7 linked regions of the Macaca fascicularis genome follow. The protein of the gene in region 6 purifies or fractionates together with the protein of the main gene of each other region. This does not show direct contact. Links are inferred from orthologs where the notes say so. Each region holds a gene or a part of one and is shown on either strand. Other genes may lie near its edges.

The links.
Region 1: the proteins of SNRPD3 (region 6) and SF3A2 purify together in Homo sapiens (affinity purification with mass spectrometry; 4 studies listed by BioGRID and IntAct, with this or other methods). This does not show direct contact. The link is inferred for Macaca fascicularis from reciprocal best matches to the Homo sapiens genes SNRPD3 and SF3A2.
Region 2: the proteins of SNRPD3 (region 6) and SF3B1 fractionate together in Homo sapiens (co-fractionation; 4 studies listed by BioGRID and IntAct, with this or other methods). This does not show direct contact. The link is inferred for Macaca fascicularis from reciprocal best matches to the Homo sapiens genes SNRPD3 and SF3B1.
Region 3: the proteins of SNRPD3 (region 6) and SNRNP70 purify together in Homo sapiens (affinity purification with mass spectrometry; 6 studies listed by BioGRID and IntAct, counting the BioPlex papers as one, with this or other methods). This does not show direct contact. The link is inferred for Macaca fascicularis from reciprocal best matches to the Homo sapiens genes SNRPD3 and SNRNP70.
Region 4: the proteins of SNRPD3 (region 6) and MEPCE purify together in Homo sapiens (affinity purification with mass spectrometry; 3 studies listed by BioGRID and IntAct, with this or other methods). This does not show direct contact. The link is inferred for Macaca fascicularis from reciprocal best matches to the Homo sapiens genes SNRPD3 and MEPCE.
Region 5: the proteins of SNRPD3 (region 6) and WDR77 purify together in Homo sapiens (affinity purification with mass spectrometry; 3 studies listed by BioGRID and IntAct, with this or other methods). This does not show direct contact. The link is inferred for Macaca fascicularis from reciprocal best matches to the Homo sapiens genes SNRPD3 and WDR77.
Region 7: the proteins of SNRPD3 (region 6) and PRMT5 purify together in Homo sapiens (affinity purification with mass spectrometry; 3 studies listed by BioGRID and IntAct, with this or other methods). This does not show direct contact. The link is inferred for Macaca fascicularis from reciprocal best matches to the Homo sapiens genes SNRPD3 and PRMT5.

The regions. Positions count from the first base shown.
Region 1 is NC_088393.1:2,893,022-2,897,128, forward strand, and holds the start of SF3A2 (splicing factor 3A subunit 2), read left to right. Parts: upstream 1-1,307; 5' UTR 1,308-1,978; intron 1,979-4,107. Other genes in the region: PLEKHJ1 (pleckstrin homology domain-containing family J member 1), read right to left, coding at 216-282, 378-445, 610-703. UniProt on the Homo sapiens protein: Component of the 17S U2 SnRNP complex of the spliceosome, a large ribonucleoprotein complex that removes introns from transcribed pre-mRNAs.
Region 2 is NC_088386.1:93,049,546-93,053,635, reverse strand, and holds the start of SF3B1 (splicing factor 3B subunit 1), read left to right. Parts: upstream 1-1,290; 5' UTR 1,291-1,319; coding exon 1,320-1,347; intron 1,348-4,090. UniProt on the Homo sapiens protein: Component of the 17S U2 SnRNP complex of the spliceosome, a large ribonucleoprotein complex that removes introns from transcribed pre-mRNAs.
Region 3 is NC_088393.1:57,079,741-57,083,240, forward strand, and holds part of SNRNP70 (U1 small nuclear ribonucleoprotein 70 kDa), read left to right. Parts: intron 1-61; coding exon 62-143; intron 144-1,411; exon of another isoform or gene 1,412-2,245; intron 2,246-3,289; coding exon 3,290-3,391; intron 3,392-3,500. UniProt on the Homo sapiens protein: Component of the spliceosomal U1 snRNP, which is essential for recognition of the pre-mRNA 5' splice-site and the subsequent assembly of the spliceosome. SNRNP70 binds to the loop I region of U1-snRNA.
Region 4 is NC_088377.1:49,007,475-49,011,685, forward strand, and holds the start of MEPCE (7SK snRNA methylphosphate capping enzyme), read left to right. Parts: upstream 1-1,411; 5' UTR 1,412-2,639; coding exon 2,640-4,211. UniProt on the Homo sapiens protein: S-adenosyl-L-methionine-dependent methyltransferase that adds a methylphosphate cap at the 5'-end of 7SK snRNA (7SK RNA), leading to stabilize it.
Region 5 is NC_088375.1:122,924,367-122,927,560, forward strand, and holds part of WDR77 (methylosome protein WDR77), read left to right. Parts: intron 1-2,035; coding exon 2,036-2,106; intron 2,107-2,234; coding exon 2,235-2,289; intron 2,290-2,762; coding exon 2,763-2,834; intron 2,835-3,194. UniProt on the Homo sapiens protein: Non-catalytic component of the methylosome complex, composed of PRMT5, WDR77 and CLNS1A, which modifies specific arginines to dimethylarginines in several spliceosomal Sm proteins and histones.
Region 6 is NC_088384.1:28,869,029-28,872,528, reverse strand, and holds part of SNRPD3 (small nuclear ribonucleoprotein Sm D3), read left to right. Parts: intron 1-2,794; coding exon 2,795-2,987; intron 2,988-3,500. UniProt on the Homo sapiens protein: Plays a role in pre-mRNA splicing as a core component of the spliceosomal U1, U2, U4 and U5 small nuclear ribonucleoproteins (snRNPs), the building blocks of the spliceosome.
Region 7 is NC_088381.1:90,670,537-90,673,674, reverse strand, and holds part of PRMT5 (protein arginine N-methyltransferase 5), read left to right. Parts: intron 1-64; coding exon 65-228; intron 229-1,278; coding exon 1,279-1,440; intron 1,441-1,608; coding exon 1,609-1,686; intron 1,687-1,776; coding exon 1,777-1,835; intron 1,836-1,921; coding exon 1,922-2,044; intron 2,045-2,130; coding exon 2,131-2,306; intron 2,307-3,138. UniProt on the Homo sapiens protein: Arginine methyltransferase that can both catalyze the formation of omega-N monomethylarginine (MMA) and symmetrical dimethylarginine (sDMA), with a preference for the formation of MMA.

The sequences.
Region 1 (4,107 bases), on a different chromosome or scaffold from region 6:
CCAAGCTTAAGTGGACTTGGCAGGTGGGCGGGATGGTGCCCGCCAGGAGAACCTGACCTTGAGCTGCCCGTGGACAATGCATTCTTATGTCTGGGGAGGGTGGCGCCAGGCTGGGGACATAGAGGAGGCCTTGAGCGCCTGGGGAGGGGACAGTTGCAGCGCTGCTGGTGCCCCGGGCTGCGGGAGGCGCCGCTGGCTTCCCTAGCCCCACTCACTGATAGAGAAGGCGCCGGGCTCTTCCCGGATGACTCTGCACCGCTCCAGCAGCAGGGCTCCGACGGGCTGGAGGAGACACGGGCGCCGGGACGGAGCAGTGAGCACCCGGCCTCCGCGGGGCCCCAGCCTGGGACCCGCCCGCGCGCCCTCGACGCCCCTACCTCGGCCTCGTCTGTCCGGAAGTAGAAGAGGAAATTCACCACCAGCTTCACCAGCCGCCGCTTCAGCACTGCGGGCACAGCGCGCGCTCAGGGGCGCAGGCAGCCCCCGCCCGGACCCCGGCCTCCCGCACCCGGCGCCCCGACCCGGAATCCGGCCTCCGGCACCCGCGCCCGGACTGCGGCCCCAGCCTTCCGCCCCTGGCACTGTCCCGGTCTCCCGGGTCCCGCTCACCGCTGCCCTTCTTGGGGCCCCTCATGCCCAGCTCGGCCGCCATCTCGGCCGGCTGCCGGGACAGCGCCTGCAGCTCCTTCTCGTTGTACCGCATGGCTTCGCGGGGAACGGGAACCTGGACCGCGCCCTCCCGGCCGCCGTCCCCGTTCACGCCGGGGCCGGCGCCAAAAAGGTCTCAGGGCGCAGACACGGAAGCACCGCCGGGGCTAGTGCGCCTGCGCACTTTGGGCCGGCCATGCCGCCAGTCTCCAGTGCGTGGCGCTGGCGACCTGGGGCGGGGGGCGGGGGGGCGGTGCACGAGTTGGTAGCGGAGACGGACAGTCGTTACATAACCATTAAATTGAAATAAACCAGACAAAGGTGGAACAGCATCAAGGCACCCCCGCGATGGCTGGCACCCCTTCCTAGAGCGGCCAGGCGCAGGCGGAGGGAGCGATAACGTCTCCCGAAGAATGTCAGCCGCCCCTCGCGAAAGTTAGCCCAGCGCGGCCGCAGCGAACCAAGGGTTCGTTGGGGGCGTTGTGCGCACGCGCGGTTTGCCTTCCAGGCCGGGCGTTCAGCCCCGCCCCCTCCAGCCCTTTCCCTCGCGCCTCCTGACCCTCTGACTTGCGCCGCTGGGCGGGCCGGGCATGCGCACACCAGAGGGCCCGCCCCATTTGCCCCGGAAGTGCTTTCTTTGACCGCGACGCGCGTGCGCCGAACGAAGTCGTGGCGGTGGCGGATCGAGGAGATAACGCGCCCTCAGGCTCTGGTGAGGAGTGGAGCCGGTTGAGGGTGGCGGCCGACTCGGACCGGGGGTTCCCTGGGGAAGAGCGGACGTAGGAGAGAGGAGCTTGCGACAGGCCGCAGGCCGAGGGGCGGGCGGCGGCGTCGCTCCCCTCCCTCCTCCCGTGAGCGTCCGGCCTTGTGCATCCTGTAGGTCCCGCGTTGGGCGGGCCCGGAGGGTCGGGCCCCCTCGGAACTCTATTTCCAAACTCCTGTTGGGAGGCCGCGCGCGGGGGCTCACGCCTGTAATCTCACCGCTCAGGGAGGGCTTGGCGGGAGGATCGCTTGAGGCCAGGAGTTCGAGACCAGGCTGGACAACACAGCGAGACCCCATCTCTACAAAAAAATTTTAAAAATTAGCCAGGAGTGGTGGTTGTACCTGTAGCCCCAGCTACTCGAGAGGATCGCTTGATCCCGGAATGTCGAGGCTGCAGTGAGCCATGATCGCAATTGCACTCCAGCCTGGGCAACAGAGCAAGACCCTGTTTCACAAAATGAAAAAGAAACAACTAAGACTCGTTGGGATCAGATCGGGATCGCGGCTGAAATGGTTTGGGCCTCCTTCCTTGTAGCCGAGAACGCTTCTGCATGCTAATCTATACCTGTGAGTTCACTGGGGCTCTGTGATGTAACTCCTGTAAGCGTCATTCCCCTTAAAACGGGAGTGACAGCTTCAACACCATGCCAAAGGGGACCAGAAAACGTTAGCTGGCCCCATTTTGCAGGTGCACATGGCTGTGACCGTTGTTCGTGTGTATCCTTGGAGAACACCAAACAGCCAGGGGGAGCTTTGGAAAAGAGGTTGTTTGCTGGGTTTAACGAGAGAACGGTGTTGCCACCAAAAACTAATTCCTTCCCGCTGGTCCAGCCCCAGGTCTCGGAGGCCACCTTTCCTCAATTCTTAAGTTCATTTCCCCTGGTCGTCGTCGGTTTTTTGTCTCTCTGTTTGTTTTGAGACAGTGTCTTGCTCTGTCACCCAGGATGGAGTGAGTGCAGTGGTGCCATCACAGCTTACTGCAGCCTCGAACTCCCATGCTCAAGCCGTCCTCCTGCCTCAACCTCCCAAGTCGCTGGGACCACAGGTGCTCACCACCATGCCCGGCTAATTTTTGTATTTTTTGTAGAGACGGAGTTTGGCCATGTTGCCCAGGCTGGTCTCGAACTCTTGACCTCAGGTGATCCTTCCCCCCCCCACCCCCCCACAGCCTCCCAAAGTGGTAGGATTACAGGCATTAGCCACTACACCCGGCTCTTTTTTCTATTTTTTTGTAGAGATGGGGTTTTTCCACTCTGTTCCCTGATCTTTACTTTAGTAAATAACATACTTCTTCCTGGATTTATCAATTTGTAGACATCATCTGCTGATTTCCTGTCACGGCTGTTGAGATTTTCTCCCTCCTATCCACCCACTGCACCTTCGCCTTCCATATCCTGAATGAGTTTCTGTCGTGAGCACAGTTGGTCATTGGTTGTATTTTTTAAATAAGATGCAAAATGTTGTTGGCTGCTCAGGGCCGGGCGCAGTGGCTCACGCCTATAATCCCAGCACTTTGGGAGGCCAAGGCAGGTGGATCACGAGGTCAGGAGATTGAGACCACCCTGGCTAACATGGTGAAACCCCGTCTCTACTAAAAATACAAAAATTCAGCCAGGTGTGGTGGCGGGCACCTGTAGTCCCAGCTACTCGGGAGGCTGAGGCAGGAGAATGGCGTGAACCCAGGAGGCGGAGCTTGCAGTGAGCTGAGATCACGCCACTGCACTCCAGCTTGGGAGACACAGCGAGATTCCATCTCAAAAAAATATATGTATATGGCCGGGCGCGGTGGCTCACGCCTGTAATCCCAGCACTTTGGGAGGCCGAGGCGGGCGGATCACAAGGTCAGGAGATCGAGACCACGGTGAAACCCCGTCTCTACTAAAAATACAAAAAATTAGCCGGGCGCGGTTTTGGGCGCCTGTAGTCCCAGCTACTCGGGAGGCTGAGGCAGGAGAATGGCGTGAACCCGGGAGGCGGAGCTTGCAGTGAGCCGAGATCGCACCACTGCACTCCAGCCTGGGCGACAGAGCGAGACTCCGTCTCAAAAAAAAAAAATATATATATATATATGTATATATGTATATATGTATATATATGTATATATGTGTATATATGTATATATATGTATATATATGTGTATATATGTATATATATACACACACACACACACATACACACATGTATATGTATATATATTTAGTTGGCTGCTAAAACAAGTAATGTGTTCAACTGGGCTTTTGTTGTAGCATTCTATTTTCCCTTAAAGCTAATTAACTTTGTTTTTACCATTAGCCTTTCTTTTCCCTACTGTTTGTTTATTTCCCCACAAAGCTCCAGCATCTCACACCTATCAGTTGTGTTTTGCACAGGTTTAAATGAATTGATCTCCCCCTCCCCACTGCCCTCCAAGACTCCCGTATCCTCCTCCTCCAAATGGGACTGATTGTGCTCTGCCTGGGTGGAGCTGGTGTCCCAAACCTTCCTGTCCTTGCTGCCCTGTGCTGACCTCTGTTCCCAGTGTGGCCATCTTTTCCTCTTCCTGCTGTCAGAGCAGAACTTCTGGGAGCTTTGGAAGAAATAGATGATTTTTTTCGGGGATGGGGGAAGTCTTTGATTGCCTGAAAATGAGTTTATTTACCCTCATAGTTAGAAGTTTGGTGGGGTATAAAAATCTAGATTGAAAATCCATATTTGGC
Region 2 (4,090 bases), on a different chromosome or scaffold from region 6:
CAAAGAAGGGAGTCTGTGAGAGGGAAAGAGGGAGCAAGGCTGCAGGTCAGGAGTCACCAGGGACAGGTTATCTTAAGCTCTCAGTCCAGCGCCATTGTCCATATATCTCCCACCTACCCCTAGCCTCAGGAAAATGGCTCCTCACTGTACCCAAAGTAGACATGGGGTCTTTCTGCAAGAGGAATACACCCATACCATTTTCCTCCCTTCAAACGACCATAATGACCCATGGTATGGTTAGTATTTGGGTTGTAGGTTTATCACATGGCGAGGTACTCCTTTCTTTGTGATGGCTCTAACCTTGATAACTACCTGTTTTCCTGGGCTGCTTCCGGGACCCATCTTTCTGAGCCTTTCTTTTTCATTGTCGAAGTCCAAGATCAGTGTGACGGTACAAGGTTATGATATTTTAATTGATGTCTAGGAAAACAGAATGCATTCTGATCTATTAAAATTCCTGATTTAGGAATACCGTCTACGATTTAAGAGAAACATTTAATGAATGTTAATAATGACGATGAGTGGTTTTCTAAGAACCCATAAAGTTAAAAGGCTTTAAAAGGGTGGTAAGATTCTCACTGTGCAACTCAATAACGATTTGTGAGGCTCAACGAAATTCTTACCCAAATTATTTGCAATTATTAAACAGAAATAATGAAAAATGACCTTGAATTACAGGGCGAGAGATGAGACTGTTAAGACTGTCTTTGTAACTAAGCACTGTAAAGACTGAGACAGCTGCAAGGTGAAGTTTTCCTCGAGTTCTTCTGGTGAATTGTGGGAAAGGGATTGAACGTCTGAGGTCTCTTCCAGCTCTGAAACCGCAGTGTTTCGTACAGTGTTCATTTTTTTTTATGGGAGGGGTCTCGGGGTCTTGCTCTTTCGCCCGGGCTGGAGGTTGGAGTATAGTGGCGCGACACGATTACGGCTCACGGCAGCCTTGAACTCCTGGGCTCAAGCGATGCTCCCACCTCAGCCTCTAGAGTAGCTGGGACTCAGTGTCTGTTCTTAACTCCCCTCGTAGAACCCACTTTCCTCCAAGGCAAAGTTACTCACTTAAGGACCTTACGGCTTAGCCCGAGGATTTCCTGGGTCACCACGCAGGCGGCTTCAGGTCCCAACCGTGACTCCTCCCCCACCCACAATGCACCTCGCGGTTCCCTCTAGGTGGCAGCTGTGTCACGTGTCACCCGACGGAGCGCGCTTCTGTTTGGCGCACGCGCAGAGTGCAGCCCCCAGCTATTTTTTTCTCCGTGGCGGCGGCGACGAGCGGAAGTTCTTGGGAGCGCCAGTTCCGTCAGTGTGTTCGAGTGGACAAAATGGCGAAGATCGCCAAGACTCACGAAGGTAAGCGGTCTTTCCCTGCTTACGTGTTTTCTTGGTTGCTAGCTTACTAAGAGCCTTTCTTCCTAGGATTCTGCCTTTTCCTATGGTTTCTTTCATGGGAGCCGAGCCCGCGTTTCGGGGCCAAGGGTCGTCTCCTCCGCGCCAGCGGCGCAGGCCACTGCCCCGCGTAATGGCGTCCTCCTCTTACACCCCCGACAGGCGCTTTGTTCGGTGTTTGGGACCTGCTACTTCAGAGTAGCTTCTCTTCTCCGACCAGAGGGCCTTGTTTAAGCGGCTTCCTCAGCAGGATTCGTGGGCAAGGGATCTGGGAAGCGGGCGTGGGGAGAAAGTCTCACTCGCCTGTCGACAGTGTCGTCCGCATAGTTTATGCAGAAGAGGGTCAGAAAAGCACTGAAATACGGCATCCGCTTTTCCGGCAGGACTGAATCGAATTTAGTTAAACCGAGATTCCATTACTCCTGCCCCCGTGTGTGTTCAAGCGTCAGTGTTACTTGCTTATTTTTCTTGCACGAAACGATTTGGGGATAAAATCTGGTAGTAGTTTTCCCTCCCTTAGTCACTTTTAGTATAATATTGATCTTTTTCTTTGGAGACTGGTTATTGGAAGAGCCAGATGGAAAAGGAAAAGATAAATTACTTTCATTAACGGCCGAAGCTTTCAAACTAGTTGATCGTTTTATGGAATGCAGAGTGTGCAAATTAGGAAAACGTTGGGAATAGACTGGAGTTCATTAGGAAATATCCAGAGATGACAGGAAACGGGATCACTTTTCAGAAAAGACGAGGCATGGGAAGTTGGAACTGCATTCTTTGATTTCTGACTTGGAATCCGAGATTTTCACTGAGAACGAGACTTCTAATTCACTTTTGTTTCATATGTTCTTTCTGGGTATTTGGCTCAGCATTAGTCTGTGAAAGGTAACAGACTGAGGCCATCCAAAATTTTACAGTCAGGTAGGGGAAACAGATGTGTATGTCCTCATTCTCTCATGAGGCCAAATGCATGCTTAAGTAGAAGAACAAACAACATGTTCTGGGAACCTGGATAACGGAATTATTATGCTTAGGGTTATTTCACTGAAGAGGTTACATGTCCCTGTTTTAAAAGGATCAGTTTTAAATCGGGAAGGACATCTGAGCCTGAGAACATCTTGTAACAAGGTATTGAATCGTGAAAGGTGTGTTTGAGTAGTAGTCCACTGTGGCAGGAACAGTGGGTGCAAGGAGAGAAGAAATAAATGAATCTGTAAAGGTTGGTTTAGGACCAGAATATGAATGGCTTTGAATTTTTGGGTCACTCGGAGGACCTGAAGTCCAGCTTTCTGCTGTTTATCAGACATGCTAATGAATTGGCAATGGCTTTAATACCAGTATTATTTTAGGTATTTAGGATTTAAATGCTCTCTTAGTGTTCTTAGGCCTTATTATTTTTCTTTAGACTATCTCAAATATAACCTTTTGCAAAATAAGTAGAAAATATAAAGATGTGCTGTTTTTGTTCATTCAGGAGGTTATTCATTTGGGGATATTGATAGTATAGCTTTGATATTTATTGGTAGCATAAGATGCTCTCAAACAGGAAAATCAAAGTTTTGATCAGTTTTCCTGAATTTTTTAGAAACCCAGCTAAAAGCTTTGGTCTATTGCTATTCATTGTCCAAACTTGTTATTTTTGAGATTATTCTATCAATGTGAATTAAGTGATGCCATAAGAAAATAGCAGAACATTCAATACTTGAACACTGTCTGTGCCCATCCCTATGGGTTATAAGTCAGGGGATAATAAATGTTTAGTAGAAATACACATAATACTGACATAGCTTCTTGCTTCCTTCCTAATGACATTTTCTTGGTGGAACTCTAATTATTCATGGTCCATCACTGTTTTCTCTTGTTAAGCCATTTTTGATAAACTGAAGCAGAATTAATGCTTTTAGGGGCAGTGCTGCCATAGCACTCAGTATAAATGTTATATTACTTAGAGTAGTCTATTGTGTTAAGATTTTCTCTTCTACTTAGCTCCAAGATTGAGATAAACTGGTAACTATTTATTTATTTTGCTGTCATATTCTTTCCAAACATTTATTTTATTTATTTTTTTTTTTTGAGATAGAGTCTTGCTCTGTTGCCCAGGCTGAAGTGCAGTGGTGCAATCTCAGCTCACAGCAACCTCCACCTTTTAGGTTCAAGCTATTCTCCTGCTTCAGCCTCCAGAGTACTGGGATCACAGGCATGCGCCACCACACCTGACTGATTTTTGTAGTTTTAGAGACAGGGTTTCGCCATGTTGGCCAGGCTGGTCTCAAACTCTTGACCACAAGTGATCCTCCCACCTCGGCCTCCCAAAGTGCTGGGATTGCTGGCATGAGCCACAATGCCTGAACCCTTTCAAACATTTCTATTAGGATCAGGCCTCACATCCTCTTTAACCAATCTGATTATATTTTACCCTGGCCAATGTGGCTTATGCTTTCCAGGATTGAAATATAAAAAGAGCTGGACTTACTCAAATCAGATAAAATCTTTTAGATCTTTCCGCATATTAAATTGTGTCAGGTGTATGGTTATGAATATGCATAATCTTGCCATCCAGCAGTTCTTCAGATACTGCTGACTTTGGCAAACAAATAGGGAACACATATTCTTCTCTGTTTTGTAAGGGGAAAAATGGGTTAATCAAAAATCCTGTGTATCAGCTTGTTTTGCCACTAATCCTTTGAATTAGATTTTTTGGTACATCACC
Region 3 (3,500 bases), on a different chromosome or scaffold from region 6:
GGGTTGGTGGGGTGGAGCCGCTCTGTGGCGGGACTCACCCCTGTCCCCATGCGCCCCACAGATACACATGGTCTACAGTAAGCGGTCAGGAAAGCCCCGCGGCTATGCCTTCATTGAGTACGAACACGAGCGAGACATGCACTGTGAGTACCTCCCGCCGAGCCTTGCCCTCTGACCCGCTCTCACTTCTCTGCTGCCCCAGCCCCTCCCAGTCTGTCCCCTCCCCCACCCTGCCACACCTGACATTAGCGGTGTCTCTCTTCCTCCTCCCTCTGTTTCTGATGTATCTTTTTTTTTTTTATATACGTGATTTTTAAAAAAAACCAAATCCCCCACAACGTGTGTGTGTGTGTGAACCTGGGGAGGTAAGTGTCACACGTTGAACCTCAGGGGCAAAGAGGGAACTGGGTGAGGGGCTGGGGCCAGTTGGAGGTGGGGGAAGGGGTCGGATTTTGGGGGAGCCTCTCCCCATTATTCCCCCCACTGAAGTTGGGGGTGGCCAGGTTGCAATGAGGACTGGCCTTTGAACCTGTCCTCTCTTCCCCCCCAGTAGAACTGGGGCTGGGCCACCCGACCCTCTGCCTCCCCAACCCTGGCCCCCCACCCTGTTCCTCAGTGGGCAGTGGGGTGATAGGCATGTTGAGCGCCTGCCCCTACAGTTCCAAAGCCCCCTTTGAGGCTGCCGCGGCGTCCACATGGGCAGGGATGGGTGGGGGAGGGTGGGCAGGGCTGCGGCGTGTCCAGGGGCCGCCGTATTAATTGATTGTTCTTATTGTCACTGCAGCCACCACGCAGCTGGCTTGCAGCTGATGCTTACGCTCCCCTTACAACACCTCAGTGTATGGTTGGTATAAGGGTTTGTATCATGGGTAAGATCACTCAGCACCGCACACCAGCCCAGCTTAGCCAGGCAGCTCAGGAGCAGCGAGGCGCCCCTCCTCCCGCCCCAGTCGCCCCCGCAGCCTCCCCGCACCCATGGCCCTTTCCTTGTTTGGGTGCCCTTTGTCCCTCCTGCCCCGATCCGTATGCTCTCCGAGAATCTTGCTGATCCCAGGAGGGGAAGGATGAACCCGGTAGGAAAGGCGGTGGCCTCTCCGCTTGGGTTCCACCCAGCCTCTGATGACCCGGCTTCGCGATGTCAGTGGCGAGGTGGCGGGAACACCGAGGGCAGGGCACCAGGCCAGGGCTCCACTGGAACCCTTCAGCCTTCCCTCCCTGCCCCCGTGCTTTCTGTGGGGCTGCTACTGTGCTGGCCCTGGAGAGTCTTTTTGGCTGCTAGTTTTGGGGTGCTCTGCGCCCTTCCTGTCTTCCTTACTGTGGTTGAGGCCTCCTGAGGGGGCTGGCTGTGGTGTCCAGCCGCTCTCCAGAGGTGGTCAGGAGCTCCCCAAAGTGCATGGAATTGGGGCTTGGGGTGTGGGAGGGACCAAGGGGTAGGCTGCCAGCAGCTGAAGGTGTCAGTAGGTTTTTACTAAAGAACCTTCCACTGTCTAGAGACTTGAGAGAGGGAAAGAGAGAGAGAGGCCTAGACGAACACAATCACATGTTTTCTTTGCTGTTCCTCCCGGGATGGGCCTCTTTTGGGGTTTGGGACTCTGAACCCGAGCGGGGTTCCTTCGCTTGACTTTGATCCTGGTCCTTAAATGCCTTTCCCCACTCCCCTCCTGTGGGTTCAGGGGCCAAGTGGCCCCTCCTCAGAGCACGGGCAGCACCGTCTCCTGGACCCCTGTGTGCCAGCCTCTGCAGACGCAGCTGGTGGGAGGGAGCATGGAGTTGGAGGTGGAGAAGTCGCGGGGGGTGGGCTATGTGCCTAGTTCAGTGTGACTTGGGGACTGGTGAGGTTGGACAGGTTTTTGAGGCCTCCCCAGCCTTCTTTGTAAATTCACACGAGATAGTCCAGGGCTTTCCAGAGCCCAGCTTGGATGATAATCCTCGTCTCCCCGACTCTAAGGCCTCCTTGAGATTTCTTTGGGGTCCACCACATCCTCTGCCTGTCTCCAGGTGGTACAGGAGATGTGGTTCCTCTCCCTCTCCTGGCTCCCTAGAACCCCCAACTTCCCCTCCCTGTAGCTTTAGCTGACCCCATGGTGGTGGGTGTGGGGTCTGTGCGCGTGCTCAGGTAAGCTTGGGGGCTCCAGGTAAGCGGTCCCGTGTCCCCCCCCGGGAAGCCCGCCTCCTCGCCAGGCCCCCAGGAGTTGCCGAGCCCCCCCCATCCCGCTCGGTTTGGACACCCGCAAGGCCGGCATCGGTAAATGGCACCTTTTTCTCTTCCTCTGGTTGTTATTTGGGGGGGAGCGGGCTGGGGCGGGGCAGGGTATTACGGTTGGTTGAGGACAGCCCCCTAGGCCAGGGCTGGGTGGGGGAACAGGGACTTTTTGGCCTTCCCGATAGCCCCACGTGATCACAGGCCAGGGCCTCAGGCTTGCCTTCTGCTGTGCACTACCCGAGAGCAGCAGTGAGCCTCTCCCCCATCTCCCCTCCACGACTCCCCTTTCCTGGCAGGCTCAGGCTGGGGTGCGCTCCCAGCATGTGTTGAGCCGGGGGTGTGGAGGGCGAGATGGGGCGGGGCTGGGGGGGAGGCAGAGTCAGTCATCTCAGGTAAGGCAGGGATTTTCAGTAGCACCGCACGGCTCCCCATGCTTCCTCCACTGCCCCTCTCCCCTGCTGCAGGGGCCCTACCAGGCCCCCTGGGAGTGTATAACCCGCCTCTCTGCTCCCTGCCATTTCCTGAAGATTTCTCCCACCCCCTTCTGGTTCATTTTCTGTTCTGATGTCTGTTCCCCCCACACTCACCCCCCTCCAAAAAAAAACAAAAACAGAAAAACCGGTGTGGTCTGGGGTGCGGAGCGTCCCAGCTGGGCCTCCTGCCCTGGCTTGGTGTCTCAGGGTGCATGCTTGGGGTTGTGGAGGAGCCCCCTCCCCCACAGCAGAGTCCAGCGTGGAGTTAACCTTCAGTTTCTTTGCAGCGATTTTGGCCGCCCTGGCGGGAGGGGGCTGTTCCATCATGTGGGAGAGGAAGGACGGGGGAGCCCAGGGGGTGGTGGGTGAGGGTGAACATCTCCCTCGACCAGGAGTGGTTGGGGCGCCGAGAGGAAGCAGAGGCTGAGATGGAGCAGGCCCTTCGCCGGTTTGGGAGAGGGTTGGTCTGGCTGTCAGTTGCCTGGCTGTCTGTTGGGCGTGTGCGTGTGGGTGATGATGGGGACACGGGGCGGGGATTCTGTAGACCCGGGCCTGTCCTGACTAGAGGACCCTCTGGGGACTCCTCCCCTCCCCCTCCCCACATCTGTTACAGCCGCTTACAAACACGCAGACGGCAAGAAGATTGATGGCAGGAGGGTCCTTGTGGACGTGGAGAGGGGCCGAACTGTGAAGGGCTGGAGGCCCCGGCGGCTAGGTGAGCACGTCCCGCCCTCAACGGGCTCTCGGGGACCCTGGACCTGGTGGCCTTGTTCTCCCTTCTTTGCTGCTTTCTGCTTCTCTGTCTCCTGCCGGCTCACGTCTCC
Region 4 (4,211 bases), on a different chromosome or scaffold from region 6:
GTGGGGCGTGCCTATAATCCCAGAATTTTGCGAGGCCAAGAGGTCACCTGAGGTCAGGAGTTCGAGACCAGCCTGGCCAACATGGAGACACTCCATCTCTACTAAAAATACAAAATTAGCTGGGCGTGGTGGTGGGCGCCTGTAACCCCAGCTCCTCAGGAGGCTGAGGCAGGAGAATCGCTTGAACCCGGGAGGCGGAGGTTGTAGTGAGCGGAGATTGCGCCACTGCACTCCAGCCCGGGCGACAGAGCAAGACTGTCTTTTAAAAAATAATAAAAAATAAAAGATAATTTTTAAAAAGCCCCAATCCCAAATGCACCTTGCAATCCAAAGGGAAGAAGTTTTGGGGAGAAGTTCTTCCCATTTGGGGGGTGCTCCCATTTTCCTCTCTCTTCCCTCACCCCTTATTCTCTCTCAGGGATAGGGGTTCAGTTCGGAGGTGTCCCTGAGCCACACGTCCTCGCCTCTCCCCGTAAACGGTGGCGTCCCCCTCTCTCTTTCCCGTTCCTTCCCTTCCTTCCTCCCACCATGAGGGAATCTCCCCTCCACTCCCACTCCCGCCAAGGCACCGTGATCCTCATTCTCACTCATATTGTCAGTGCCCGTCAGGAGACTGGGCTGTTTTTGTCTGTTTCTTGGGGACGACAGATTCTGAGGAAAAAGGGCCAAGAGCTGGTTGTCGCCCTGAGAAAGTTTCTCCTCAGGCAACGGGTGCCAGGACTGGCGGCGCCTAGCACCTTCACCTACAACCAGAAACTAGCCGGCTACCTTCAGGAGCAGGGAGGACCTAAAGGCGAGGTGCAAAACCAGCTGGCGCAGCGACTCCGCAAGCCTCTCACACCTCAACCCAGGTTTCCCGCCACCAAGAAAAGGCACGAGGACGTCCTGCGCGCTAGCTCCACCCCCGGGAGGCGCGCTCGCGGAGTCTGAGGCGCATGCGCAACTGGAAACAGCGTCTGCGTTTCCGCGGCTGAGGTAATTCCGCCATCTTTCACCCGAACGTCCCGGGAAAACTACAAATCCCAGAATCCTCTTTGGTGTCACATATTTTTAGGCGGCGGCCGCAGCGCCTGATTGTTCTTGAAGCACATCTTACTAACTTTTCTCTGTTTCAGACTGCCTTTTCCTCCCTCTTTCCGTTCCCTGATTCCTCCTCTTCCTGCTGGTCTCCTTCACGCCCTCACTTTAGGATTTTGAGACTTTCCGGGACCCCACTGTCACCCCTGTCACCCGCTCCTCGGCCCAGCACTCCGCTGGCAGGAAGACCGGGCTGCGAATCTCCCCGGGAAAACGCCGTAGATTCGCTTCTTCCTCATTGGCCGAAGCGGGGGGGGCGGGGCCCAGCGCGGACCGAACCCCCGTCCCCGCCCACACTCTCTGGTATATAAGTCGGCGCGGCGCCGCGGCGGGCGTTTGGGGAGGCCCGTGAGCTGACGGGCCAGTGAGCGAGCGTCGGGAATGGGCGGAGGCGTTGGGGTCCGGGCCGTGGGTGTGGAGGCGGAGAGGAAGGCGTGGTGTGGCGTCTCCAGGTGATTGCGATTGGGGGAAGGCAGAGGAACCAGAGAACGACTCAGCCGTTTCGGGGGAAGAGGAAGTTGGACAACACCGGCTGTTTTAGTGCTTTTTATTTTTCCCCAATTCAGCAGAGAATATTTTCGAGGGGGGTGAGTTATAATGACCTATCGCGTTTTACTGAGCCCAGTTCCACTCCTGCCCTTCCTCGGCTTTGTAGGGTCTCTCTGCTCCTTCGGAAGCGCTTCTAAGAAGATGGGCAGAGGGGGGAGGTGTGCTACCAACAGCTCATGAATAATTCATGAGCACCGCCCTTCGTCGGGAAGCCCTGCCCCTCCGGATCGCGCTGACGCACGCTGCGTTTACCAAACTTAAGGAAGCGACGTCACAGGCCCTACCCCTAAGACGGGAGGCGGGGCGCCACCTCCAGCACGTGCTGCCTGTACCCGCGCAAGCCCAAAAGGGTGTGCGCAGGCGCTGCTCACTAGGGGGAGGAAGGAGGCGGGGTGGGGAGGTTGTTGGATTTAGAGCCGGGTGGAGACCGCTGAGACTCATTCCTCAGGAACAAGGGTCGGGTGTCAAGGAGACCTTTTCACACCAGGTCCCGTCCCCCGCCTACGGTGGGTGGGATCGCGCGGCAGAGACAAAGGAGATCAGTAGGGCCGGACCTAGCTGCGCAGGGAAGTAGGGTGTCAGTTTGGGGTGGTGGGCTTTTGCGGGGGCTGTGTGGGGGGTTATATTTAAACTCCCAGAGCCGTTAAGTTGGTTCGTACTCCGATGCGCGCGCAACCAGGGTGGTGGCGGAGTGCGCATGCGTGGTTCCGGGGCGAAGGGAACGCGCGCTTGCCGTGCGCGCTCGCGGCGGGGTGGTAGTGGCGGAGGAGAAAGGGGTCGGCGCACGCGCGGTTGAGTGCTCGAGTAGTTCGGGTGTCGCGGGCATCTTGTTTTGGTCTCGCGGGCGAGTGGGGCGCACTTCGCGGGGAGGCGCTTGGGCGCGAGACTAGGCGAGAAGAGCAGAGCTGCGCGCGCACTCGGGAAAGGGGGGGAAGGGAGCAGGGTCCAGGCAGGGGGGGTTAAGCCCCCTGATCCCCCTCGTTACCCCGACTGGGACGGAATAAGGGGAGGAAATGATCGAGATGGCGGCGGAGAAGGAGCCGTTTCTGGTGCCGGCCCCGCCGCCGCCGCTCAAAGATGAGTCGGGCGGAGGGGGCGGCCCCACTGTGCCACCGCACCAAGAGGCCGCCTCTGGGGAGCTCTGCGGCGGGACGGAGCGTGGTCCGGGTCCTTGCGCGCCGTCTGCGGGGTCCCCGGCCGCTGGGGTCGGTCGAGAGAGCCCCGGGGCCGCGGCCACCCCCCCCGGTGGTCCCCAGGCGCAGCAGCACCGAGGAGGCGGCCCCCAGGCGCAGTCGCACGGGGAGGCCCGCCTGTCGGATACCCCGGGGCGAGCCGCTCCCCCGGACGTGGGGGAGGAGCGCCGGGGAGGGGGCGGGACAGAGCTGGGTCCCCCTGCTCCTCCTCGACCCCGCAATGGCTATCAGCCCCACCGGCCACCTGGGGGGGGCGGGGGCAAGAGGAGAAATAGCTGTAATGTAGGGGGAGGTGGGGGAGGCTTTAAACATCCGGCCTTCAAGAGGCGCAGGCGGGTGAATTCGGACTGTGACTCTGTGTTACCCTCCAACTTCCTCCTGGGGGGCAATATCTTTGATCCCCTAAACCTGAATAGCCTCCTGGATGAGGAAGTGAGCCGCGCCCTCAACGCAGAGACCCCTAAGTCATCCCCCCTTCCGGCCAAAGGGCGAGATCCAGTGGAGATCCTCATCCCCAAAGATATTACTGACCCGCTCAGTCTCAATACTTGCACTGATGAGGGCCATGTAGTTCTTGCTTCGCCACTCAAGACTGGTCGGAAGCGGCATAGACACCGGGGACAGCACCACCAGCAGCAGCAGGCAGCCGGAGGGAGTGAGAGCCACCCCGTGCTGCCCACAGCCCCTCTCACCCCCTCACTCCACGGGGAGGGCGCCTCACAGCAGCCGCGGCACAGAGGCCAGAACCGGGATGCCCCCCAACCCTATGAACTCAACACAGCCATCAACTGCAGGGATGAAGTGGTGTCTCCGCTTCCATCTGCTCTACAGGGTCCCTCAGGCTCCCTATCAGCCCCTCCAGCTGCCTCAGTTACCTCTGCACCCCCATCTTCCTCCTCCCGACATCGCAAACGTCGCAGGACTTCCAGCAAGTCGGAGGCAGGGGCTAGGGGTGGAGGCCAGGGTTCCAAGGAAAAGGGCCGAGGGAGTTGGGGAGGCCGTCACCACCACCACCACCCACTGCCTGCAGCAGGCTTCAAAAAGCAACAGCGCAAGTTCCAGTATGGGAATTACTGCAAATACTATGGGTACCGCAATCCTTCCTGTGAGGATGGGCGCCTTCGGGTGTTGAAGCCTGAGTGGTTTCGGGGCCGGGACGTCCTAGATCTGGGCTGCAATGTGGGCCATCTGACCCTGAGCATTGCCTGCAAGTGGGGCCCGTCCCGCATGGTGGGCTTGGATATAGATTCCCGGCTCATCCATTCTGCCCGTCAGAACATCCGACACTACCTTTCCGAGGAGCTGCGTCTCCCACCCCAGACTGTGGAAGGGGACCCGGGGGCAGAGGGTGAGGAAGGGACCACCACCGTTCGAAAGAGGAGCTGCTTCCCA
Region 5 (3,194 bases), on a different chromosome or scaffold from region 6:
GAAATCACAGACTCATATCCAAGGTCCAGTATCCTGGACCTTCAGGGTCACTTGCAAATAGTTTTACAATAATGTTGAATGCCCAGCTGTGCGCAGTGGCTCACGCCTGAAATCCCAGCACTTTGGGAGGCTGAGGTAGGCAGATCATATGAAGCCTAGGAGTTAAGAGACTAGTCTGGCCAACATGCCGAAACCCTGTCTTTACTAAAAAGTACAAAAATTAGCCAGGCATAGTGGTGCACATCTGTAATCCCAACTACTTGGGAGGCTGAAGCCCGAGAATCGCTTGAACCCAGGAGGCGGAGGTTGCAGTGAATCGAGATCACGTCACTGCACTCCAGCCTGGGCAACAGAGTGAAGCTGTTTCAGGAGAGAAAAAAAAAGTCAATGCCCTACGTCTATTATATTTGCCTTTTATTGCGTAGACATATGTGCTTTCCTGGTTAATGCTAACTCTTTTTCAGCATTTCTGCCATGCAGCCTTTCTGTTATTCTTTGTGTTTGTGTCTTATTCCCCCTGCTGAATTCCAAATCCTTTATTTTTTTTTAATTTTTTGTAGAGACAGAGTCTTGCTATGTTGCCCAGGCTGGTCTCAAATTCCTGGGCTCAAGGGATCTCCCGCTTTGGCCTCCCAAAGTGCTGAGAGATTACAGGCATGAGCCACTGCATCCTGCCCCAAAACCTTTGAGGGTAGAGGAACCATGTATTCTTCATCTTTTCTTTACCACCATGATGCTTGTCCCAGAGCTTTGCTTTTTTCAAGTGAGCAATAAATTCCTTTTCTTACTTCTTATTCTGTTGACTTTCTATGAATTCTAGGGCTAGGAAAGAACTATGGAAGCTGGTTTAGTTCCATCCTTCTGCCTCAGGGAAGGGCCACATTCAGACTACCTGGGAAAGTCTGGTAAAATGACTGTGGAAGAGGTTTCCACAGTTTCCAATTAACATGTAGCAGTGACTTTAAAGTTTTTTACATGTAGACCTCCTAAAACAATTTTGAAAATCTGTGCCCCCTCATACATTTTAAAATTGATACCTAAAGAAATTTTTTAAGTAGTTGCAGAGAAGGTAATTTCTGGCATATAATTTATTATATACTTATTTCAAGCGTATATTTGTCCAAATTTTAGGTTTGCAGGTTAATCCTATTTAGTTTGTACAAATGTCTACCAAATAGCCTAACTGGCAAAAGCCAATCTGCATTGTAAAGCCAGTGGACCAAGTTAGACTAAATTTTCCATCAGAAAAAGTCTGACTTTGTTTTTAAATTCAGATAAAGTTGTTGAATATGTCCTTATCACAACGATCTGTCATATGTTTTAGTTCTCGTTATTAGACAGAAACAGAGTGAAGTTACAGAACCATACTTGTGTTTGTGGTGTGACTGAAACAAGATCAGCGCCCCCTTCATTGAATTTTACCTAGATACTCTTTCTTTTTGCTCTTCGGTTCTTAGGGAAAAGCCGCTTTTGTGCCTTAGTTTAGAACCCTTATGTTTTTATACCCCTGAGCATTGTACCATGGAAAGATCTGGGATGAATGACAGGTATGTGTTCTTTCTTTAAAGTGGAAGAAGGGTGATTGTGAAAATAGAGGCAGTTCAATTTTAAGAAAGAGAACATTAGAGAAATTGGCTCTCTTAATACTATTAGCGCCCAGAACTCCCTCGAAAGTTTTTGTATACTACTTGGAGGTATGTGTGCTCCAGTATGAAGACTGCTATTCTAGAATTATTTAGATCTCACGTCTAAGATGCCTTAACTGGAAATTCCTTTGTTATTCTTAATAAGCTCCTAATTTCTCATTCATTGTTTTCACTAATACATTTTTTTTTTACAAGGCTTTTTAGGTTTTATAAGTGTATAAACTTCTCCTCTTAGCTTTTGTCTGATCCATAATCTCCCACAAAATTTGTTAAATTGCATCATGAGACCAGCCCTCCCTCCCTCCTGCACCTTGATTACTCCTGGGCTGGCCCTCTTGTAATGCTTCAGCTTGTTTTCTATCATGTTTCTCTTTCTCTCTCCTTTATAGCTCATGCTGCACAGGTCACTTGTGTTGCTGCCTCTCCTCACAAGGACTCTGTGTTTCTTTCATGCAGCGAGGTAAGAGATAGCTCCTTCTTCCCTAAACACACTCCAGCCCTCCATAGGCCAAAGTCTCTAGTGTGGAGACTTTCTGGCCTGCAGCGCTTTGGACTGTGAGATCCTTTTTCTGTTCCGCCTTCCTCTAGGACAACAGAATTTTACTCTGGGATACCCGCTGTCCCAAGCCAGCATCACAGATGGGTGAGTCTGAGATTCATTGGTGGGAGAGTAGTACTTGGAACCCTGATAGAAGAGAATTTCTTTGGCCAGTGTCAAAGCATAGTTGCCAGATGCCCAGTGTAGTTACTGTGACATGAGTGACATAATCTCCTTCTTTTCCACTGAGACTCTGCTAACCCCATTCTTGCAATGCATACCAAGAGGAAGGGCCAGTTCCTGGGTGGCTGATTTACTTTATTAGACGGGAGGACAAAGGGGCCAGAATTGTTATCTTCATGATTTGTGCCTGAAACTTGCCTGTGACTCATGTCCAGAAAGGGCAGGAAGCTGGTGGATAAATGGTTATGAGGCTCAAGGATGAGGACACTGCTGCCTTAGCAGGGTTTGGGAAATCAAATAAAGGTGCTCCCAGGATTTAGAGTGATGTCATTTGAGAAACCGCTTCTTCTGGACTCTTTTGAGTTTTTGTCCAGACCCTCTTCTCTCCTTTGCAGGCTGCAGTGCGCCTGGCTACCTTCCTACCTCACTGGCTTGGCATCCTCAGCAAAGTGAAGTCTTTGTCTTTGGTAAGGCAGCATGTCAGACTTCATATTGACTCTGGGAAAGGGGAGGAGGAAAGAGAAAGAGCTGACTCCACAATGCACAAGGCCCTTGCTGCTCAGTCTTAGCCCTCATGGACACTAGATGAATTATGAATTGAGGGTGGGGAGGTGGGGTGATGCCAAGGTAGTTTTAGTGTAGCTTTGGAGAACATGATTATTTTCCCAGTGGATTTGATTTTTGATTGATGGATCTAGCTCCTATATTCTGGGCATGGCTATAAGTCAGTGAGCCACAAAGCAAGTGGATTGCTATACAGCGAATTCTTTTCTACTGTGGGTAGGTGTAGAGCTATCGTGGTCATGAGGCTGTGTGTATGGTGACGT
Region 6 (3,500 bases):
GTCTCAAACTCCTGACCTCAAGCAGTCCTCCCACCTTGGCCTCCGAAAGTGCTGGGATTACAGGCATGAACCATTGCGCCTGGCCTAGTTTACTTTTTAACAATTTCAGGAGGTGTGATCAGATGCAGTGGTTAAGAGTGTGAGTTAGACAGAACTGGGTTCAAACTCCAGCCAGGCCATGTAAGCATGGTGTGACCTCAAGCAGGAGAATAGGGGGAAAGGGCATGGATTTCTGGGGACAGATCTGCCTCTGAATGGCTATGTCACTTCATCTCTTTACCTTGTAGGATTTTGTGGGGTGACATGAGCTGCTGTGGGGAAATCACCTGGGCCAGCACTTGATGTCTAATAAGTGTTCAGTAAATGTTGGCTTTGTCGTCTTGTATTTTCCTCAGCTTTGTAGGTGAGGGAACGGAGGCTCAGAGAAGCCTGGAGATGTATCTGGGGTTACACTTCTGACAAATGGCAGAGCTGGATCTCACCTATAGGTCTTTAGGTCTATTTTACAGAGTCATGAGTGTGGCACAGTCTCCAAAACACCTGTTTTTTTTTTTTTTTTTTGAGACGGAGTCTCACTCTGTTGCCCAGGCTGGAATACAGTGGTGTGATCTTAGCTCACTGCAACCTGTACCTCCTGGGTTCAAGTGATTTTCTCCTGCCTCAGCCTCCCAAGTAGGTGTTTGCCACCATACCGAGCTAATTTTTGTATTTTTAGTAGAGATGGGGTTTCACCATGTTTGCCAGACTGGTCTCAAACTCCTGACCTCAGGTGATCCACCCACCTTGGCCTCCCAAAGTGCTGGGATTATAGGCATGAACCCCCGCACCCAGCCCCAAAACACATTTCAATTGTCAGCAGATTCAGGTGAGCCTGAGTTGTATCCAGTTTCTCTCTTGGGTAGTCTAACCATACCTGGTGTTCATTTGTGGCACTAGAGGTTATGGTATTCTTCAGGGGAAGAAAAGGATTGGTAAGGACTTGGGAACTGGATGAAAATTTGATAACAGGCTGGGAGTGAGGAGCCTAGAGCAGAAGATTTATGGGAAACTGGAGCCCTGGTGCCTCTGAAGGTAGAACAGGGATAGTGGGTGGAAGCTCTAGAAACCATTCCTCTAGAAACTGCTCATATACCACAGGGGTGGCCCCAGAGCATAGTTATGTTTGTTTGCTTTTTGAGAGAATCTTGCTCTGTGGCCCAGGCTGGGGTGCAGTGGCTCCATCACAGTTCCCTGCAGCCTCAACCTCCCAGAACCAAGTGATCCTTTCACCTCAGCTTCCCGAGTAGCTGGACTACAGGCACGTGCCACCACACCCAGCTAATTTTTGTACAGATGAGGTCTCACTGTGTTGCCCAGGCTGGTCTCAAAACTCCTGGGCTCAAGTGATCCTCCCACCTTGACCTCCCAAAGTGTTGATATTACAGACATGAGCCACCACACCCGGCCCATAGTTGTTCTTTTCTCGCTGAGTGTTCAAGCAGAGGCTGGGTGGCCTGTTAGCACTTGAGGAAAAGAATGAATGAGTATAAGATGGCATCTAGCTAGACAGAAATCTGGGAGACAGCCCATCTCTCTACAACATGGGCTGACCCATTCTGAATAAATTATAGTCCTCTCCCTTTAGAAGGTTTATACAGTGAGCTGCTTTTTCTGTAAACGTGGTACTTGTTGAGGTTGATGCTGGCAGATTGGTATCACCCTCCCATGCCAAGCTGGTCTCACCTTCAGGCTCCTCATTTGTCCATCCTACCGTCTATCCTTGTTGACACATTTATCTTTCCTAAGTGCTGCCTTAACCCTATTGATCTTTCCTCTATTGACAAACTTGACTCTTATCTGAAGTAATGACCCTGTCCAGTGCCTGCTCTTTTCCTTGTGCAAGCTGTTGCCTCATACCCCTCCAGTAATTTCAGGCCCTTTGTGTAGGCCCTGTGGTACCACCTCCATTTCTCAGTCCCTAGTCACCCAAGCTATAGGGTTCTGTCTCACATTCTAGAGTATGCACTCTGGAGGGTCAGAACCACATCTGGTATATACTCGTGACCTTCATGATGCCTTTGAAATCTGAGTGCCAGGCAATGCAGGGGAAGACAGTTTGGACCAGCAGTTTGAAGCTGTTTTAGTTAGAGTTTAGCACCTTCAAGAGCTCTTCACATCTTTGCTGCACAGCCAGGGCTCTGAAGCTAGGCCAACTGGTTCGAATCTGGAGTTCCCTGCATTTCTGCTGTTTGACCTTGGATAACTGCTTTGGTTTTTTTAACCTGTAAAAATGGGAGCACTCGGCTGGGCACAGTGGCTCACGCCTGTAATCCTAACACTTTGGGAGGCCGAGGCGGGCAGATCACCTGAGGTCAGGAGTTCGAGACGAGCCTGACCAACCTGTTGAAACCCGCCTCTACTAAAAATACAAAATTAGCCGGACATGGTGACGCATGCCTGTAATCCCAGCTACTCGGGAGGCTGAAGCAAGAGAATCGCTTGAACCTGGGAGGCAGAGGTTGTAGTGAGCCGAGACCGCGTCATTGCACTCCAACCTGGGCAACAAGAGCGAAACTCCATCTCAAAAAAAATGGGAGCGCTCATACCCACGCTGGAGGTGTTGTGAGAACTGTTTAGGTAAAGTGCTCAGTGCAGTCCCTAGTGTACATAGTTAGTACTGATGATTGCTGTGTAATTCACCAGCTTTCTCACAATGTCAGTCTGCTTTTCTGGACTTCCGCCTCCCACCAGTCAAGGCCCTCCCCACCACTGGTGCTGTTGACTGTTAATTGATTAGCCACTGATTTCCTTCTAGATGTCCAACATCACAGTCACATACAGAGATGGCCGAGTGGCACAGCTGGAGCAGGTATACATCCGTGGCAGCAAAATCCGCTTTCTGATTTTGCCTGACATGCTGAAGAATGCACCAATGTTAAAGAGCATGAAAAATAAAAACCAAGGCTCAGGGGCTGGCCGAGGAAAAGCTGCTATTCTCAAGGCCCAAGGTAGGTGCTCTTCATGCACAGGTTTTAAAATACAGGTTTGTCTTGTGTCTTGTAGAAAGGGGCCCTCTTACTGCCTGGGAACAGAGAGGGCTTGACCTCTGCTCTCTCCACATCCACTGCCACCCCTTCCCCTTGCAGCATGGAGAGATCCTGTGGGGCCATGAGGCTTTGCCTGGCCTTCTCTGTCTTGCTGCATCTGGAATACTGTCTTAAGTGAAAGGGTTGATGAATCTCCTATAATAAATTTCTAGGAGGACCTTTTTTTATTTTATTTTTTTGAGACAGAGTCTTGCTTTATCACCCAGGCTGGAGTGTGGTGGCGTGATCTCAGCTCACTGCAGCTTCTGCCTCCCAGGTTCAAGCAGTTCTCCTGCCTCCGCCTTTGAAGTAGCTGAGATTACAGGTGTGCACTGCCATGCCCAGCTAATTATTTTTAATTTATTTTATTTATTTATTTTTGTATTTTTAGTAGAGATGGGATTTCACCATGTTGGTCAGGCTGGTCTCGAACTC
Region 7 (3,138 bases), on a different chromosome or scaffold from region 6:
ACAAAGGAGCAAGGAAGGGTTTCTTGCCTGGCAGTGGTTGACAGTTTTTCTTTGTCTCATGTAGCTCTTGAAATTGGGGCTGACCTCCCATCTAATCATGTCATTGATCGCTGGCTTGGGGAGCCCATCAAAGCAGCCATTCTCCCCACTAGCATCTTCCTGACCAATAAGAAGGGATTTCCTGTTCTTTCTAAGATGCACCAGAGGCTCATCTTCCGGCTCCTCAAGGTGAGTGGTAGGAGGGTTCTAAAGGTGGTCCAGCTATACATCTTGCCTTATTTACCTGTGTATGATCGTTTTTTCCTGTGAGGCTGACTCTTTTTCTTTGGTTTCTGGGGAGCAATTTCAGTGAAGTTGGGAGTCTTGAGAACAAAAAGATAAATGCCAGTAATAGCCCTAGAAACCTTTCAAAACAAACCAAACCTCATGAGAACTTTGCAGAAGGTTTCATTTAGGAAGTTACAGCAAGGATCCATGAGGCTCTTTGGGTGTTGATGATACTTTTATGGCATAAGAGGGCTTTTCTTTTCTTTTCTTTTTTTTTTTTGAGACAGAGTCTCACTCTGTCACCCATACTGGAGTGCAGCGGTGCAAACTCAGCTCACCAGAACCTCTGCCTCCCAGGCTTAAGCGATTCTCCTGAGTAGCTGGGATTATAGGTGTGCACCACTACTACCCGACTAATTTTTGTATTTTTAGTAGAGACGGGTTTTACCATGTTGGCCAGGCTGGTCTTGAACTCCTGACCTCAAATGATCCACCTGCCTCAGTCTCCCAAAGTATTGGGATTACAGGCGTGGGCCACCACACCCGGCCAAGAGGGCTTTTTACAAGTTTACTGAGGCCTCATGCTGCCTTTGTTGGTATTGGAACAGATACTAGAGAACTGTTGGTCTGGGCCAGGCACAGTGGCTCACGCCTGTAATCCTAGGACTTCGGGAGGCTGAGGCGGATGGATCATCTGAGGTCAGGAGTTTGAGACCAGCCTGGCCAACATGGTGAAACCCCGTCTCTACTAAACATACAAAAATTAGCCAAGCCTGGTGGCACGCACCTGTAGTCCCAGCTACTTGGGAGGCTGAGGCAGAAGAATTGACCCTGGGAGGTGGAGGTTGCAAGTAAGCCAAGATCACGCCATTGCACTCCAGCCTGGGCAACAGAGCGAGACTCCATCTTTAAAAAAAAAAAAAAGGAGAGCTGTTGATCTGGGCCATATTTTACACTGGGCCCCGAATCTTGGTTTGCGGGCTGTATCTGATAGTCTGACTTTTCTTACAGTTGGAGGTGCAGTTCATCATCACAGGCACCAACCACCACTCAGAGAAGGAGTTCTGCTCCTACCTTCAGTACTTGGAATACTTAAGCCAGAACCGTCCTCCACCTAATGCCTATGAACTCTTTGCCAAGGGCTATGAAGACTATCTGCAGTCCCCGCTTCAGGTGGGTCTGGAGTGCACTGAGAGTAGGAAGGTGGGGTGAAAATGTATCTTGAGAATATATGCCTCCAAATGTTACTAAAACTCAGAAAGCAGTGGAAAGTTTTTGATATTTTAGTGCATTGTCCTTTGCCAGAAACTGGCTAACTTTATCCTTTTCCTCATTCATCAGCCACTGATGGACAATCTGGAATCTCAGACATACGAAGTGTTTGAAAAGGACCCTATCAAATACTCTCAGTATCAGCAGGTACTGTGTGGTATGCAGGGTGAGGAAAGCACAGGGCTAGCATGACCTAGGGAGATTGGGATTACAACCATAGGATATTCTCTCCTCCAGGCCATCTATAAATGTCTGCTAGACCGAGTACCAGAAGAGGAGAAGGATACCAATGTCCAGTGAGTGCTTTCCCCTCAATCCCAGGGACTTGCATATCTACATCTGTATATGCCAAGTCTGCTTGACTCTTCCCTTTCTTTGTTAGGGTACTGATGGTGCTGGGAGCAGGACGGGGACCCCTGGTGAACGCTTCCCTGCGGGCAGCCAAGCAGGCTGACCGGCGGATAAAGCTGTATGCTGTGGAGAAAAACCCAAATGCCGTGGTGACGTGAGTAGCAGCCTGCTTGCTAGGAAGTTAGTCCCCATTGCCAAATTTCCTTAACATGTCTCCTCACCTTATTGTCTCTGTTTCAGGCTAGAGAACTGGCAGTTTGAAGAATGGGGAAGCCAAGTGACCGTAGTCTCATCAGACATGAGGGAATGGGTGGCTCCAGAGAAAGCAGACATCATTGTCAGCGAGCTTCTGGGCTCATTTGCTGACAATGAATTGTCGCCTGAGTGCCTGGATGGAGCCCAGCACTTCCTAAAAGGTGCACCCAGGTTGGGGTGTAGGTGGAGGGTGATGATGGATGAGACATCTACCTGGGAGGAGGGTACAGGGTTTAGGGGAAAGTGAGTTGGACCTGGGTCACATCATATGAGTTTGAGAGCTATTGCTCCACTGCCTCTGTGCCCTTAGCAAATGAAGTCGTCTCTTCAAACCTCAGTGTTCATATTTGTAAAATGAAGGGAGTGGGCCAGGTGCTGTGGGAGGCCAAGGTGGGAGGTCAGGAATTCGTGACCAACCTAGGCAACATGGCAAAACCCTGTCTCTACTAAAAATACAAAAATTAGCCAGGCGTGGTGGTGCACGCCTGTAATCCCAGCTACTCGGGAGGCCGAGGCACGAGAATCGTTTGAACCCGGGAGGAGAAGGTTACAGTGAGCCAAGATTGTGCCACTGCACTCCAGCCTGGGCAATAGAGCGAGACTCCGTCTCAAAAAAATAATAATAATGAAATAAAAAATAATGAGGGGAATGGACTCCTTGAGCTGACGTATGTACCCTGAGCTTAGCTTTCATCAGGAACTTTTATGGGACTTTGTGACCCCACAAAAGTTAAGAACTACCAGATTAGACTATCTTGGGTTCTTTCAGTTTTTATCTGTGTGACTCTGTAAATTAACCTAGAAGTGGAATCATCCGTGACAGTAGTTGGAAGGCTGGCTTAATAATGTGACAACATGCATTTGTCTCTTTCTTCCATGCCCATGCCAACGTTGGTTGGTTTTGACATGGGAGGTTTGATCCTTCTGATCCTTCAGTTAGTACAGACACACCATTTCCCTCCCTCTGGAACTAATTTGACTCTCCTGCTGTGC